Sus scrofa: one gene and its partner. The protein of the gene in region 2 interacts with the protein of the main gene of each other region in a pairwise test. Links are inferred from orthologs where the notes say so. Each region holds a gene or a part of one and is shown on either strand. Other genes may lie near its edges.

Region 1 (8,074 bases), on a different chromosome or scaffold from region 2:
GACGCGTCTGCAGGTCAGACGCCAGGGACAAGGCCTGGGTCCCGACCGAACGTGCTGCGAGGAGCTCGACTCGGCAGAAAAGGCAACGACTCGCCTTCCTAGCAGAGGGGGGACCTTGTGCCCCGAGGAGAGATTCGAAGGGGCGACCAGCACTCGGAGGCGCTGAGCGCGGCCCTTCCTGAGGGAAACGGGCCCCGGCCGCGGCCGCTCCTGCGCGCCCGGGCAGGTGGGGGCGGTCAGGCCGGGAACTGAGCCCCGCAAAACCTGAACACGCCCGCTCGCAGCCGCGTCAGGCAGACGTCGCCGACGGAGGGACAAACACCCGCGTCTATCCACACGAGGGCCTCCTGCTCGGCCAGAAACAGGTCGGCGGGCAGACACCTGCTCCAGCACCAGGAAACTCATGAACACGGCGAGAGAGAAGCTGGTCACGGGGGATTAACCCGGGTCATCCCACTTAGGCCAAGTGTTCAGAACAAGCAGATGTCAGAGACAGAAGCAGGCTCGTGGAAGCTTAGGCCTGGAGCCAGGGAAGGAAGGAGGGAAAGTGCTTTTGCCGAACTCGTGGCTGCTGGAAGCCATCAACGGTGTCCGGCGCGCCCACCAGCCAGGCTGGACTTCACCACCAGCCTCTGGTGGTCGCAGCTGGCCTGGGGTCAGCACGAAGACCCTTCCCTGGGCTCTCTTTTCTCACGGGCCTTTCTGCAAAAACCCCAGTGATTTTGGTTCATTTCTATAAGCAGCACCAACTTAAGATTTCCCTGTTCCAGAGTTCCTGCTGAGGCTCAGTGGTAATAAGTCCAACCAGTATCCATGAGGACACGAGTTCGATCCCTGGCCTCGCTCCGTGGGTTAAGGATCCGGCGTTGCCAGGAGCTGTGGTGTGGGGCGAGACACAGCTTGGATCCAGCGTGGCTGTGGCTGAGGTGCAGGCTGGCAGCTGCAGCTCCAATTCGACCCCTAGCCTGGAAACTTCCACAGGCCGAGGGTGCGGCCCTAAAAAGACAAAAAAGAGAGAGAGAGAGAAAACGAGTCAGCGTTCCACCTGTCACTAGGCTGTTTACTGAGCGCCCCCAGCGCCAGGCCCCGGTTCAGGTGCCCGACGTCCCTTCTGCTGACCGGCGAGGCAGGCAGGTAGGCGGGCAGATGAAGAAGCTAAGGGGCATCGATCGGGAAAGTTACGGGCCTAAAATCGGTACGTCAAAAAAGAGTCACAATTTGCACGTTATTCGGGAAAGTGGGAGGCCTTCCAGGAGGAGGAGTGAGAAGACTGAGCTGTGCCTGCCTCGGACGAGCAGGGCGGGGAGTGGCCACCCGCCGCCTCCTTCCCGCACCTGGGGGGCAGCCACACGGCCCGGCGCATCTGATCGCCCAGCCCGTCTGATGGCATGAAGCGTGAAGCTTGTGTGATGCGGCGTGAGCCAGAGTGAAGGGAAGCCCGTTAGCACGAACCGCTGACTGCAGGGCGCAGGGCACAGGGCACAGCGGTCTACAGGGGGTTTCATGACGCAGATCAAGAGCTCTGGCCCAGGGACTCGACGGCGAGGCATTTGCCTAACGAGGTGATGGCGGCAGAGATTTCTGTGCGGACGACGACGACACGACAGAGGCTGATGGTGCCTCTAACGCCGCAAAGCCGCCGCCGCCGCCACCGTAACTGCGCCCAGCAGGCCCGGAAGGGGAGGCCTCTGCGCCAGGCAACCCAAGAGACGCCAGGACAGCGGTGACCAGGGCCTCCGTGGGGTGCGGCCGGGAGACCACATGAAGAGAAAAGACGGGCTGGGGACCCACGTATGTGCAACACACACAAGCCCCGTTCCTCAGTCACACGCAGGCGCGTGCGGAGAAAGAAACGAGAAGGTCATACGTCAGAACACGAGCCGCTCAGGGAGGAGAATGACAAGCATGTTTTCGTCTTTTATACTTTCCAGCAATTTCTCCAACAAGAGAAAGAAACCTAACATATGCACTCAAAAGTGTTCAGCGCGAGTTCCCACTGTGGCTCAGTGGGTTAAGAGCCCAACTAGTATCAATGAGGATGCGGGTCTGATGCCGGGCCTCGCTCAGTGGGTTACGGATCTGGCGTGGCCGTGGCTGTGCTGCAGGCTGGCAGTCGGGACTCCGCTGCCACCCCAGCCCGGGAACTTCCACATGCCGCAGGCGTGGCCTTAAAAAAAGTTAAAAGTGTCCTGTGTATCAAACAACCTCACCAGAAGGAGAGCGATAACCCAGGTCAGACCAACAGCAGGAGGGCAGGGCAGCACCACCAGGCTGAGGCCGCCGGGGCGCCAGGTTGGAAAACTCCACCACGGGGCCTTTGAACAGCCCGCAGGTGAACAGTTTTTCCAATCGGAAGCTATCACTGGGGGCCCCGAGGTCCCCTCACACCCGGGCCACCTGTGTGGGGTGCTGGCAGATGCCGGGACATGATCCAGGGGTTGCCCAGCACGGCAGCTGTGCCCTGGCCACCCTGACCCAGGACGAGTCCAGGTTCCCACTCAGAGGAGCGGCCTCCTGCTTCTGCTCCTCTACGCAGCCCCACGCCCTCACTCCACTGGTCAGGCTGGAAACCCTGCAACCCCAACCCCTCCCATGGGGCCCCCCTCCCATCTCCCCAGCTCACACCCTCCAGCGCCCTTGAGCTCCGGGAGCCGTGGGCCTCGCCGGACCCTGCAACGCAGTGACCCTACGTGTTTCAACAGCCCTCACCCCTCAGTCCCACGCCCACAACCTCACCGGCACGGTCTGCCTCTGTAATCCCGCCCGTACACTCCCAGCTCCCTGCCTGGCCAAACCCCAAGTCTAGAACCTGGTCCAAATTCAGGACCCCAGGCTTGAGGGACCTTCGGGGCTGCCCAGCACTTCCACAGCCCCGCTCAGCGGCTTCTCCCCACCTCTCAGCCTCTCGACCGTCAACTCCTCCTCCCCGCTGCCCTCCCCTGTTCCTGGCAGGGGACCTTCACTCCAGAGCCCTGAGCTGCTCCCGGGAGCCTCCCACTACCTCGCCTCGCTGTGGCGCCAATGCCAAGGCCATCACCCCCGGGATCCACTGCCCCTCCTTCTACAAGACCCACTGCAAGTTCCCACATCCAAAACCCTTTCCACAGGCTCTCCGCCCTCTTCCTTTTATTTATTTTCTTCTCTGCTGGCTGCCCTGAGGCACATGGAGCTGCCGGGCCAAGGATCAGACCTGAGTCACAGCTGCGACCTACGCTGCAGCTGCGGGAATGCCGGATCCTTTAACCCCCTGTGCCAGGCTGGGGGTTGAACCTGCAACCTGGTGCTGCAGATGCTGCAGATCCGTTGTGTCAGAGTAGGAAATCCTCCACCCTCAAGCACAGTCCGCTGGTGCCTTCTCGAACTCCGTTCCAGCCACCCTCCCACCCAATGTGACCAGAACCACCAATGACAGCCAGGCGCTAACACGCTCCTGACCAGAGCCCAGCCAGGCTCCCTGAGCCCTTCTCTAGGCCTCCACCTGGGCCTGAAAAGACTTGAACAAAAAAGCAGTTTCCAGCAGCTCGAGGCCACATCTTAACAGCGACTCTAGGTCCCCTGAAAAGCACCTGAGAAAAATCCAGGCTGCCAAAGGATCCGGCCAACACCTGCAGACGGGCCTGCTCCCTCAGCCTCTGGGGTCAAGGAGGAGCCCCATTTTCCTGAACACCAGCCAGCAAGCCCAGGGGGGTTTCCCACAGACCAGCCCCGGTCATGCTTCTGGTCATTTTCCACCCCGACTCCCTGAGCACAGCCGCCACCTCCCTATGGCCTCAGGTCAGCCTTGCCCTGTTTGTGGTCACTGACAAAAATCCCACCTCACCGCCTGAAACCAAGTACAGCAAAACCAAGTACAGCCGGTCCTGTTTATCTCTGAGTCACCGAGTGGATCTAACGGACACGACTGGTCCCTCCCATCTCCCCTGCTCTTTCCTCTCAGCTTCCCAGGCACCCTCCACTCTCCGACCCCTTTGCACCCTGCGCCCCGACTCCGAAGGGGCGGAGGCTCAGCCCCTCCCTCTCTTCAGGCCCTGTGGCTGGAAACACCACCCTTGGGCTAAAGGTTTCTCTGCTCAGGTGTGTATCACCCACACACACCCTCTCAACGGAGGGGTCCAATCCACACCCCACCGTCCTCTGCACACCTGACCTTCCTGCACGGTCTGTTCCCCCCCAAGAATGGTCACGTGGTGGAATCCCGCTTTCAGCTCCAGCTAACACCCTGGTGTCACCCACAACTCCCGTCTTGCACAGCCTTCCACGCCACGGTAAACCCCGTTGGCGCATCCAGAGCACCTCCAGAAGTGGCCCCTCACGGCCTCTACCCTGAGGATCCTGGTCCAGCCGCCCCGCTCCCCTGGATTATTCAAAAGCCTCCAACTCGTCTGCGGCCTCCGCCCCGGCCCCTCCATCCCACGTGCGACTCGGCGTCCGGAAGGACTAGTGAAATACCTAAATCGGGTTAGGCCCCCCCCTCTGCTGGGACCCTCCTCCAGAGCTTCCCTCCCTTCCCCTCCTCGGCCCGGCGCCGCCTGCGGGGCTAAGCAAAATCAACCGCACCCCAACCACCCCCAAGCCTGGCTCGCTGGGCCGGGGCTGCTTCAGCTCCAACACTGCGGACAACCGGGAGGCACCCCCGAGCAGTGGGGAAGGCCCGGAGCGGCCGGCGCTCGGGATCCCGCGCTCCCCCCAGGTTGCCGACCGGGGAAGCGCCCAGCCCTCCTTGCGCACCCGCCAGCCCCGGAGACCTCGCACCCACGTGGGGCGGGCCCCAGACCGCCCCCCTCGCCTACCTGCGCGTGGCCTCCAGCGCCGGCTTCCGGCAGACGCGGCGCCCAGGTAACGGGGACCCGCCCTCCGGAGCTGCACCCCCCCCCCATTGGCTGAGGCCCGCCTCCGTCTCCCCGCTGGCCAATGGCGAGCGGTAGCCGCCAGGGCCGGGACGCGACCAGACGCGCCGGTGGCGTCATTGCTGGGCGCCGCTGGTGCCCGGAGCCTGCGGTTGCCAGGCAACCCTCCACGTGCGGGACCTCCCAGTTCGAAGCTGCGCAGGCCCGTTGCTCCACCGGGGTTCATGTTGAACAAGATAAAAATGTACATAGATTTCCCCCCCCCCGTCTTTTTAGGGCCGCTAGCCATGGATATTTGAAGTTCCTGGTCTAGGGGTCGAATCCGAGCTGTAGCTGCCGGCCTACACCACAGCCATGCCATAGCTCAGGGCAACGCAGGATCCTTAAACCCACAGAGTGAGGCCTAAACCTGCGTTCCCCATGGATACTAGTGGGGACTGTCACCGCTGAGCCAGGAGGGAAACTCCAGAGGTAGATTTTTAACTGCTTTCACTTAAAAGTGGGAGCAAGATTGTGCAATCTCCGCATTACACCTGTGCGCCAGGGTTCCCAATGCATCGGAGGTGCATGCAGACACCTGTTAAGTCCAGGTGAGGTCACCTGGGGTGAGGGTTGAAGGCGGAGGTGGGCCTGACCTCGCGGGGTATCTGAGGTCTGAGGCAACCCACTGCCAGTGAAACTGAGGGGTTACACCGTTGTTGATTTCTTCATAGTCCCAACACTGAGAAAGGGAAGAAAGAGACTTGGCCTGTGGGGACATTTAAGCTGCAGACCACGTGGAGGAGACAGGTGGACGGGGTTATGCTATCAAGGGAAGGTTCTCGATATGGGAGATAGGAAAGCCAGGCAGGGTTCTTTAGTTCCACTCTCTAAGGCCAGCCAGTTTCTAATCTGGCCGCATTATACCAGAGCCCCTGCTGGTCCTGTGTTCACACACGTGAGAGTCTATAAGGCACACACTTGGGGGTAGAGTTTCTGAACCATGTGTGCAAGCACGTCCAACGCTACGGACTCCAGGAAAAGCCATTCCGTTTTCCAGCTGCTCTGGAGGACTTCACGACCATCTAGGGAAAAAAAGTTCATCCAGAAGCTTAAATATACAGAAGCGTTGATGTAGTTTTTTTAATTTTTGCTTTTATTTTTAGCTCTGGTAATTTGCCATGCAACTGAGCAGGACTCTATGGCAGCTTCCTGGAATGCAACAGACTCCCACCCCACAACGCCCCTACCCAATGGCCTCCACCTGCCTCTTGTCCATATAGAAAACTTGAGCCTCCTTGGCCTTCTAGGTCCAAAAAGGTTTGTTTTTGTTTGTTTTAGGGCCACATCTGAGGCATGTGGAATTCCCGAGCGAAGGGTCGAATCAGAGCTGGCCAGCTACACCACAGCCACAGCAACGCCAGAACTAACCCGCATCTGAGACCTGCACCAAAGCTCACAGCAACGTGGGATCTTTAACCCACTAAATGAGGCCAAGGATCAAAGATGAGTCCTCAGGGATACTAGTCCGGTTTGCTACTGCTGAGCCACAACCGGAACTTCCAGTTCCAAAAAATTTAATCAGTTAAGTGAGAAAAATGCAAAAATAAATGAAGATAGTCAGGCAAGACAAAATAGCTTAGCCCTAAAACAAAAATCAAGGAACTTTAGTTCCTCCTCCAGGGCTGTAGGTAATATTCTGACCCATGTTCTTTGAGCTGTTTTGCAGAGACTGAAACCCACGCCAGGTGGAAGAAATGAATCTCATACTGCCTGCAAGTGTGCAGACCCCAAACCAGGTGGAACCAGAAGGTTGATGATGTTGCATCCCAATGACCTCACACACACCCCAAACCCCCTCACTCACCCGTGTTCTGAAAGACCTTTCCCCTAAAGCCTTCAAGGAGTTTGGGTCTTTTGAACACTAGCTACCTGGACGTCTTGCTTGGTGCCCACAGAAAACACCGCACTTTGGTTTAACCCAATCTGCTTTCAACAGATTGTTTTCACTGCACAAAGCCGTGAACCCAAGTTTGCTCCAGGCGCTTCAGATCAGCCTCTCATAGAGAGCAGCTTTAAACATAGTCAAATATGCATAACAAATACAGAGAACAAAAAAACGAGCTATGTCAAGACATCAGAGGGCTCATTTTACAGTGAAATATTATGGAACCAACAAACAGGAGGAAAAGAAGGAAGCCCAGAGAAGTAAGCCTTACAGTTATAGTCATTTTTCACTCGGGCCAATCAGTTCTGCAAGGAACAGCTGAAAGACTTGAGAACCTGAAAACAGATGTTGACAGGGTTTTTTTGTTTTTGGTCTTTTTGCCTTTTCTAGGGCCCCTCCCGGGGCACACAGAGGTTCCCAGGCTAGGGGTCCCATCAGAGCTGTAGCCACTGGCCTACGCCAGAACCACAGCAACTCGGGATCCCACCCGAGACTGCAACCTGCACACAGCTCACAGTGGATCCTTAAGCCACTGAGCAAGCCCAGGAATCGAACCCACAACCTCATGATTCCTAGTCGGATTCGTTAACCACCGAGCCTCGATGAGAACGCCCAGATTTTGACAGTCTCCTGGGCTTAGGGCTACCAAGTGGTCGCATCTTGCGGTTGAAACCCTGAAAGGTTACACTGGAGGCATGAATACAAACAGCAGTCCTGGAAGGGACTCCATAAAATCCGTCTGCAATTCATCTCCATGTCTGGAACCGCATTTAAGTGACTGAGGATCAAGTGCTGGTGCAGCTAGCCTGCTGAAAGAAGAACACGTCAGGGCTTCCTACAGGACCCTACTATCCTATGCCCCAAATTACAGCCGATCACATATCACGAGTTCTCAACGGAAGACCACTGTGTACACAAAGGGACAACACAATGCGAAGGAAAACCAAGGAAAACCACCACTCTCAGCGTCACACCCTCAACCCAGCAGAGCCTCTTGGATCTGAGAACGAGCCGCTCCCGCTGCTACCAAACCAGGCTCGCTTGGGTGAAGCGGAGACGCAGAGGCCTGCAGCCCGGCAGAGAGGCAGGAGGAGAGGCCCCAGAAGCACCTCCGGGAGAGCAGGGGCTCGGGGGAGCTCCCGGACAAAGACGAAGGCAGCGGCCGCGGGAGGCTCGCGGCGCTCCCGCGACGAGACCCGGGAAAGGCGGGAGCGGCTCTTCCGCGCAGGCGTGACTCAGCCGCCGGCCGGCACGTGGGCGCGAGCGCGGCGTGGGGGCGGGGCCTCCTGCGCTCCGACGT
Region 2 (8,074 bases):
ACAAAAATCCTCAATCTTGAAACTAACTTACATTGAAGGTTTGAGGTTAGTTTAGAACTCTGAAAATAGTTTGTTAAAATGTAAAAACCCTGAAATTACAAACCAAAATTTTTACAATTTTACAGTATATATCTAATTTATTCTTTTAAAAAAATATTCTGAATTGTTTTTATACAAGTAATCAAGTGTAATTTCTTTCAAATGAAACTCCTCTACAGGCTAGAAGAGGGTATGTGGTATTGCCCCATTAAAACCCAATAACAAATTTCACTTTTCACGCTGGTACTTCAACTATTTCGAAATAGTCATTTGGTAGAATCACATAACCCCTCTCTGAGACGTCGTCTTTCTCCTTCTGAAAGTGTACAACCTCCTTTAACTTTTCCAGCTGTCGCTCCTGCCTCCTGCATCGCTGCTGCGCAGTCTTGAGTTTCTTTCGGAGTTTTTCAACTTGTTGCTCTAGCTGGTGAATCCTTTTCCTCTGGTGCATGGTGTCCTCCACAGTATAGTTGTGGTCACAGAACACAGAGAGATTATCCGGGGTCTGCAGAGGAGGCATGAGTAATCCGATAGCAGCGTCAACCTGGGAAATGGGGGGTGTTAGAGGAGGTGGGGGGAGCTGTTCCTGTGGCTCCAGAAGATCTTCCTTCTAAAACAAAGATGCAGAGCTTGTCAGAATTCCATAACTAAAATAACAGTTTAGGAGTTCCTGTTGTGGCTCAGCGGAAAAGCATCCTTCTAGTATCCATTAGGGTGTGGGTTCGATTCCTGCCCTCACTCAGTGGGTCGGGTATCTGGCATTGCTGTGAGCTGTGGTGTAGGTCGCAGATGTGGCTCAGATCCTGAGTTGCTGTGGCTGTGGCATATGTCAGCAGCTGTAGCTCCGATTTGACCCATGCCTGGGACCCTCCATATGCCACAGGTGTGGCCCTAAAAAATCAATTAAAATCACATAGAACATTTCCAGGATAGATCATATGCTTTCCTAAACGAGCTTGAAAGCCCTAAAAAGCAAAAAACAAAACAAAACAAAAAAACTCACAAAAAACCAGTTTAAAACAATTCACCTGTGGAATTTAAAAATACACTTTTTTGTTTCCTTGGTAGAGAAACATCCTAAAATAAGAAAATAGTTTAAGTCCTAATTATACTTTTCTATCTGAAGTAGAAATGGGATGCAAGAATGACAGCACTATTAATAACATTTAATTAAATACTAAGCACTTAAAAGTGAGGTAGGAGGGAGTTCCTTGGTGTTCGAGTAGTTAGACTCAGCATTTTCACTGCTGAGGCCTGGGTTCAATCCCTGGTCTGGGAACTGAGATCCCACATCAATCCACTGTACTCCATAGCCAAATCCAGAAAAGAAAAAAACAAGACAAAAAAACTTAGGGGGAAAATACTTTGAAACTGAACTATCACTGATAAAGAAAAATAAAATTTATCGACATTTAAGTAGGAATACAGAATGAGCTTATGTTAATGAAGCTACACCGAGCTTCTTTGTGTGAGGATATTTAACTCGAATAAACTGTACTGTGTATTTTTAAAAAGTATTTCACTTTTTAAAGTGAACAGTGGTTATTTACAAGGGATAGGTCCCAGCTAACATTTATTTTCTTTCTTTCTTTTTTTTTAGGCTGCACCAGGGATTGAACCCGAGCCACAGTAGTGACAACACAGGATCTTTAACCTGCTGCACCACCAGGGAACTCCACATTTATTTTCTTAACACTGCTCGAATTTTCAAAATTTTCACAATAAACATTACTTTTATAAACAGAAAACAACCTGATATTTTATTTTTATTACTTTTTTTTTTTTTTAGGGCATACCCGAGGCATATGGAAGTTTCCAGGCTAGAGGTCGAAATTGGAGCTGCAACTGAGACCTACGCCGCAGCCACAGCAACACCAGATCTGAGCCGCATCTGCCACCTACACTGCAGCTGGTGGCAATCCTGGATCGTTAACCCACTGAGTGAGGCCAGGAATTGAACCCACATCCTCGTGGATACTAGTCGGGTTCTTAAACCACTGAACTACAATGGGAACTCCCCCAATATTTTAAAACACATCTTACCTTGTCATGTGGTTCAGTACAAAGAAATATCGTGGGAACAGCATCCTCTTTGAGTAACTTGTTGTTGCACTCCCTCTTGAAGCAGTCTGGAGTAAAATGTTCTGAACAAATGCTGCTATACTTGGTGGGCTTAAAGTTTTTTCTTCTGACAGCTGCCTCCCATTTTTTGCAAAGACTAGGTCGAGTAAGAGGAAACCTAAGAAGACAACATAGTTCAGTTTTCTAACCTTATTCCAAAAAAGGGCACATCCAGACTTTCCTGCTTTGGAAGGAACTAGCTTATACTGGTGTTAACACACCAATGAGTATTTGATGAAAATGCTAACTTTGCTCATTTTTGGGGGACAGTTTTTAGTTGTGCCTTTATTACCTTAGTTTGTTAAAAATGGACTTGTTTTGGAGTTCCTGCTGTGGTACAGTGGGTTATCGATCCAGCATTGCACAGCTGCGGTGTAGATCACAGCCACAGCTCGGATTCAATCCCTGGCCCAGAAACTTCCATATTCTCCCAGTACTGGTGCAGTGATTAAATTAAAAAATGTACTTGCTTTAAAATCCTATAACTAGAATTCCCGTTGTGGTGCAGCCGAAACAAATCTGACCAGGAACCATGAAGTGCGGGTTCGATCCCTGGCCTCGCTCAGTGGGTTAAGGATCTGGCGTTGCCATGAGCTGTGGTGTAGGTCACAGATGTGGCTTGAATCTGGCATTGCTGTGGCTGTGGCGTAGGCCAGCAGCTGCAGCTCCAATTCCACCCCTAGCCTGGGAACTTCCATGTGCAGCTGGAACAGTCCTTAAAAAGACGAAGGAAAAAAAAAAAAAATTGGAAGGTGGGTAGCTGAACAGCCTGCGATGGTGTCACCACCTCCAGACCTACTCCCTTGACTTTGAAAGTACTGGAGGCCAATCCATCAGCTTTCAGAAATTCTAATAAATCAAGAGTAATATTAAGATATCACCCCCTCAAATGAATCTGGAAGTGTTGTGTTTCTCCCCTTAGAAGGGAAACAGCAACACTCTCAAGATTTCTCTATGCTCCCTCAGCTCTCTAGTGTTACACCAAATGTACAAAAATGTATCCACATTCCCTGTTAAACATAAAAGGCCCCACCCTCCAAACTGAAGGAATACTTAAGATTTTGCTCTTGAAATTATTTCGCTATAAATCGTATAATTTATCACTGGCTTTTATTTCTTTAGCTATCATCCATTTACGGTTGAGATTATTGCAAAACACTTTTTATGTGATAACATCTGTAAATATAGAATTTGGCTGAATGAAAATGCCATCGTGCAGACATCGGATTATCATTGTCACTCTACTTTTCGGCTTTCTTTGGAGAGACCTGTTTCCTCCTAGGACCTCTAAGGTGAAACCGGCCCTAGAACTGGGAACGTGTCCCCCTCCGAGGGCTTCTTCCAGGTCCGTGACAGCCCGGCTGATTTTATCATGCACAGTGTACCACTACTGCCCGTTAACATAGTGTGCTCAGCCTGGAGCTCTCTCTAAAACTCAGCAGTCCTCAGGAGCAGAGTCCAAAACATCCTCCCTGAAATCCCGCCCACGTCAATGCCTAAATGCTGTGATGCTGGACTCCCCCCACCGCAGGGGATCAAAGTTCGTGACTTCCCGGCTGTTTCCTCTTCAACTTTACGGCTAAAGTGGCATTACTACCTGGCTTCTCTACGACCCTGGTGGTGAGACCCAGCTGCCTCTCGGTCTGGACACCCCACGACTCACGGGAATTCTAGGCTTCGTGGGTGGGCCGCGAACTAGCTACCCTGAGCTCCGCTAGAAACTGGAGCGCGAGGAACAGCCTCCGCGGCGACGCAACCGAGAACGCGCATCCCGGGGCGGAGCGCCGCGGGTGACGCCAGGGGCACGCCCACCGCTCCCCGTCCCAGCGCCAGACGGCGCCCCGCCCCTCCCACTAGGTCTCGCGCGGACACGCGCCTGGCCCCGCCCCCGAGCAGGGCCGCGCGCCCCCAGCCCCTGCGAGGCCCAGGAGGCGCTCAGGATACTTACTTGTGGAAAGAAACGGGCTTGTCCTTGTCATATCGGTTCTTGCAGCCGTAGGCGGAACAGGACTGCACCATCCTTCCGGTCCTGGTTACTTCACTTCTGCCGCCCCAGCAGGCAGTTGAGGCTGCTATCAATGTCGTCGCGCTCGACTTTGACACCCTCTCTTCTTCCGTAGCTTTGGTCAACAGTTACAATGACGAGAGGCTCACTCGGGAGCGACTAATGTGTCCGTTTTGTTGTTTGCATTAGCAGAAGGACCACAGCCATCGCCCGTCTCCCGTCTCCAAGATGGCGGAGACAGCTTCAACCTCACCTCTCGCGAGGCGTTAGTCCTACTGTCTCTTGATTAGCCCTGAGGTCAGAGGTAACGTTTCTTGGGAAGCAGGCCATTGGCTGAGTCCCGCCGCGCGGCGGACTGAGCGTTGCGGAAGTGGGCGGGGCCTCCGAGCTTCCGGAAGGAAGGAGTAATTACCTGGGAGAGGGGGGTGGGAGCGCAGGACCGATTCCGCCCCGGCGGTGCTGCTTGGGGTTACTTATGCTGGGCGGTTCAGATTCGCGGCACTCTACCGTCTATTGGGTCTGCTGGCCTGAAGCAGGACAGGTGTAAAGCTGAGGTCGTTGCATAATTGCCTTGTTTCTCTAAAAGGGCGGTCCCAGATGGCGTGATGTGTAAAACTTGGTGGACTCCCTTCCCGGCCCGCTAACCTCTCTTACCTGCTTCAGGTATTCTGAGGCTTTGCGGAGCCCAGGTGAAGAGTTTAGCCAGGAAAGCCCGCACCTGCACACACCGCGAGCCCAGTCTCTAGGGGCTTCTCTCACTAATGCTGCAGTTATCTTAATGATCTCCAGGTGCCGTGTTGGGACTCGCCAACAGCTGCAGCCCTTTTGGCCGGCTCCTTTCGTCTGTGTCGATAACGGGCTGTTGAGTAATCTCATGGCTCATAATTTCTTTTTTTTTAATTGGTGAGCAAGACTAGCATAGGCCCAGTCTTCGTAGCTTAAGTCCTAGTAAGGGGAAACAGACAATAAAAATGTAAATAAAATCACAGTGTGCTCAGGTGCCTGAATACATTAGAATGCCGAGATGAGGGTAGTAAGGAGAGGGTCACTGCCTACTCTCTGAGAAGGGAATGTTAAATCTGAGAACCAAACAACGGGTCGGGGGGAGAGGGTTTCTGCCACAAGAAGTGCGTGCTAAGGCCTGGAGGCAGTAAAAAGGTCTGTCTTCTAGGAACTGAATGGGGCCTGCAATGGCAGAGCCCAGTGAGTGGGTGGGGGCATACTGCAGCGTGAAGCCGCTGAGCCATTTTAGGCGGGGAGAGACATGATCTAATAAACGTTTTTAAAAGGCCATTCTGGGGAGTTCCCGTCGTGGCGCAGTGGTTAACGAATCCGACTAGGAACCATGAGGTTGCGGGTTCGATCCCTGCCCCCACTCAGTGGGTTAACGATCCGGCGTTGCCGTGAGCTGTGGTGTAGGTTGCAGACGCGGCTCGGATCCCGAGTTGCAGTGGCTCTGGCGTAGGCCGGTGGCTACAGCTCCGATTCGACCCCTAGCCTGGGAACCTCCATATGCGCGGGAGCGGCCCAAGAAATAGCAACAACAACAGCAAAAGACTAAAAAATAAAAAAATAAAAGGTCATTCTGGCTATTATGCCAAGAATTTATCAGGGAGGGGCAACAGTGAGTGAGCAGACCAATTAATAAGAGCAGACCAATTAAGAGGCTGTTGCAAGCAGACAGGAGATTGGCAACTTTGGACCAAGGAGTAGATGCCTATGCTAACAGGTAGAAACACCAGGGCTTGCTGGTAGTGGAAACAAGAATGAGGAAGACACAGAGTTCCCACTGTGGCGCAAGTGGAAACGAATCCGACTAGGAACCATGAGGTTGCAGGTTGGATCCCTGTCCTGCTCAGCAGGTTAAGGATCCGGAGTTGCGGTGACCTGTGGTGTAGTTCGCATACGCGGCTCGGAAATGGCGGTGCTGTACCTGTGGTGCAGGGCGGGCAAGCTCTAGCCCCGATTAGACCCCCTAGCCCGGGAACCTCCGCATGCCTCGAGTGTGGCCATTAGTGGCCCTAAAAAGACGAAAAAAAAAGGAATGAGGAAGGAGTTCCCCCTCCCTCCTGGCTCAGTGGTTAACAAACCCGACTAGTATCCGTGAGGACTCGGGTTTCAATGGGTTGAGACCCGGTTGCTGTGGTCTACCTCACGTGTTTCTCGGATCCCAATTGCTGTGGCCGTGGCTAGCAGCTACAGCTCCGATTAGTTCCCTAGCCTGGGAACCTACATATGCTGCGGGTGAGGCCCTAAAAGGAGAAAAAAAAAATTAAGATAAAGATATCAGGGGTAATTTAAGCTTGAGTTTTGGGTGTGAGCATTTTTTTAAAAATTGTTTTACAACGTTCAGCGGCTTAATGTGGGATCTCAGTTCCCAGAACAGAACTGGGGCCATATGGGTGAAAGCGCCAAATCCCAACCAGTAACCCACCAGAGAACTTCCCACTGGCTTGAGCATTTAGATGGATGGATGGTGGTGCTTTTTACCGAGATGCTGATGGCCTTAAAAAAAAAAAAAAAAAAAAAAAAAAAAAAGAGCTATGTCCCCTGACAGACTAGTGGCCTTGGAGGGGTGGGTAAGTTTGGAAGCTGGGTCATCAGCTGTGGGATCCTAGGACTGAGGAATATCTACATGAAAGAAAGTATCAGTAGTTGGGCGGGGGGAGTCAGGAGCCCTTTTGAAGTTTGTGGTTTATTTCAGTTTGCTTGGATTTGCCTCTGCCAAGTTCTGCTCCTCCTCCCCTTTCTTCTTCTGGCTATCTATAACTTGGAAATGAAATAAAAATTTCTATTATTTGTTGATTGTTATCCTAATGTTTCCTTCAAAATGGTAAATTTACTAGTAAAGTGAATTGCATGTAATTAAGAAATACATATCACTGAATTGAAATGAATGTTACATTTTTCTTTGTAAAAACAACCCCCCAAGCTAAATTTTCACTGTATGGTCTGTAAATTGATTTGCTGAGTGGAAAAGTGATATTCAGAGTTCCCATTGTGGCTCTGTGGTTAAGAATCCAACTAATATCCATGAGGACACTGATTTGATCCCTGGCCTCACTCGGGGGTTAAGGACCCAGCATTGCCGTGAGCTGTGGTGTAGGTCACAGACACGGCTCAGATCCCCGAGTTGCTGTGGCTATGGCATAGGCTGGCAGCTGCAGCTCCGAATGGACCCCTAGCCTGGAACTTCCACATGCTGCAGGTGTGACCCTAAAAAGCAAAAAGAGAAAAAGAAAAAAAGAAATCCCAGCATTCATTCTTTCTGGGCCCATTATCTTCGTGTGGAGCGTGCGGCTGTAGGAACTGGGGAATTCTTAATTTGGAAGCCATTAAATCCTAATTTCAGCTCTTTGAATCCCCTGAAAATGAACCCAAGCTATACACATGTGTATATAGGCATTTTTCTAGGGCGTTGTCTATAGTTTTCATCTGATGTTTCACAGAGAAAACACAGACACTTGCCCATTCCTAAAGTCTCTTACATCTCTAATATTCTGGGATTAGTGAAACAGATTAAATTTCACATAGATATAAATTATAGGTTTTCTCTAAAATTGATTAAAAGAGTGTGTTTTTTTTTGTTTTATGGCCACATCTGCAGCATATGCAAGTTCCCAGGCCAGGGATTGAATCTGAGCTGCAGCTGTGACCTACTGCCTTAAACCCACTGCCCAAGGCTGAGGATTGAACCTGTGCCTCTACAGCAAGCCAAGCTGCTGTAGGTGGATTTCTTAACCCACAGCACCACAGCAGGAACTCCAAGTGGTTTTGCATGTGTGTGTGTGTTTGGCCATTCCCTTGGCATGCAGAAGCTCCAGAGCCAGGGATTGAACCCAATCTACAGCAGTGACAATGCCAGATCCTTAACCACTAGGCTACCAGAGAACTCCAAGTAGTTATTTT

The links. The genes of interacting proteins can lie anywhere in the genome.
Region 1: the proteins of THAP1 (region 2) and C3H7orf50 interact in binary tests that used the Homo sapiens proteins (3 or more experiments, as listed by UniProt). The two-hybrid records come from large-scale screens. The link is inferred for Sus scrofa from reciprocal best matches to the Homo sapiens genes THAP1 and CHLSN.

What each region holds. Positions count from the first base shown.
Region 1 is NC_010445.4:740,430-748,503, forward strand, and holds the start of C3H7orf50 (uncharacterized protein C7orf50 homolog), read right to left. Parts: upstream 4,942-8,074; 5' UTR 4,791-4,941; intron 1-4,790. Other genes in the region: uncharacterized protein LOC102163231, read right to left, coding at 7,751-8,074. UniProt on the Homo sapiens protein: Hormone secreted from the intestine in response to cholesterol, where it acts to inhibit cholesterol synthesis in the liver and VLDL secretion,leading to a reduction in circulating cholesterol levels. Acts through binding to its receptor, GPR146.
Region 2 is NC_010459.5:11,768,212-11,776,285, forward strand, and holds the start of THAP1 (THAP domain-containing protein 1), read right to left. Parts: upstream 5,111-8,074; 5' UTR 4,180-5,110; coding exon 4,109-4,179; intron 2,279-4,108; coding exon 2,083-2,278; intron 650-2,082; coding exon 275-649; 3' UTR 1-274. UniProt on the Homo sapiens protein: DNA-binding transcription regulator that regulates endothelial cell proliferation and G1/S cell-cycle progression.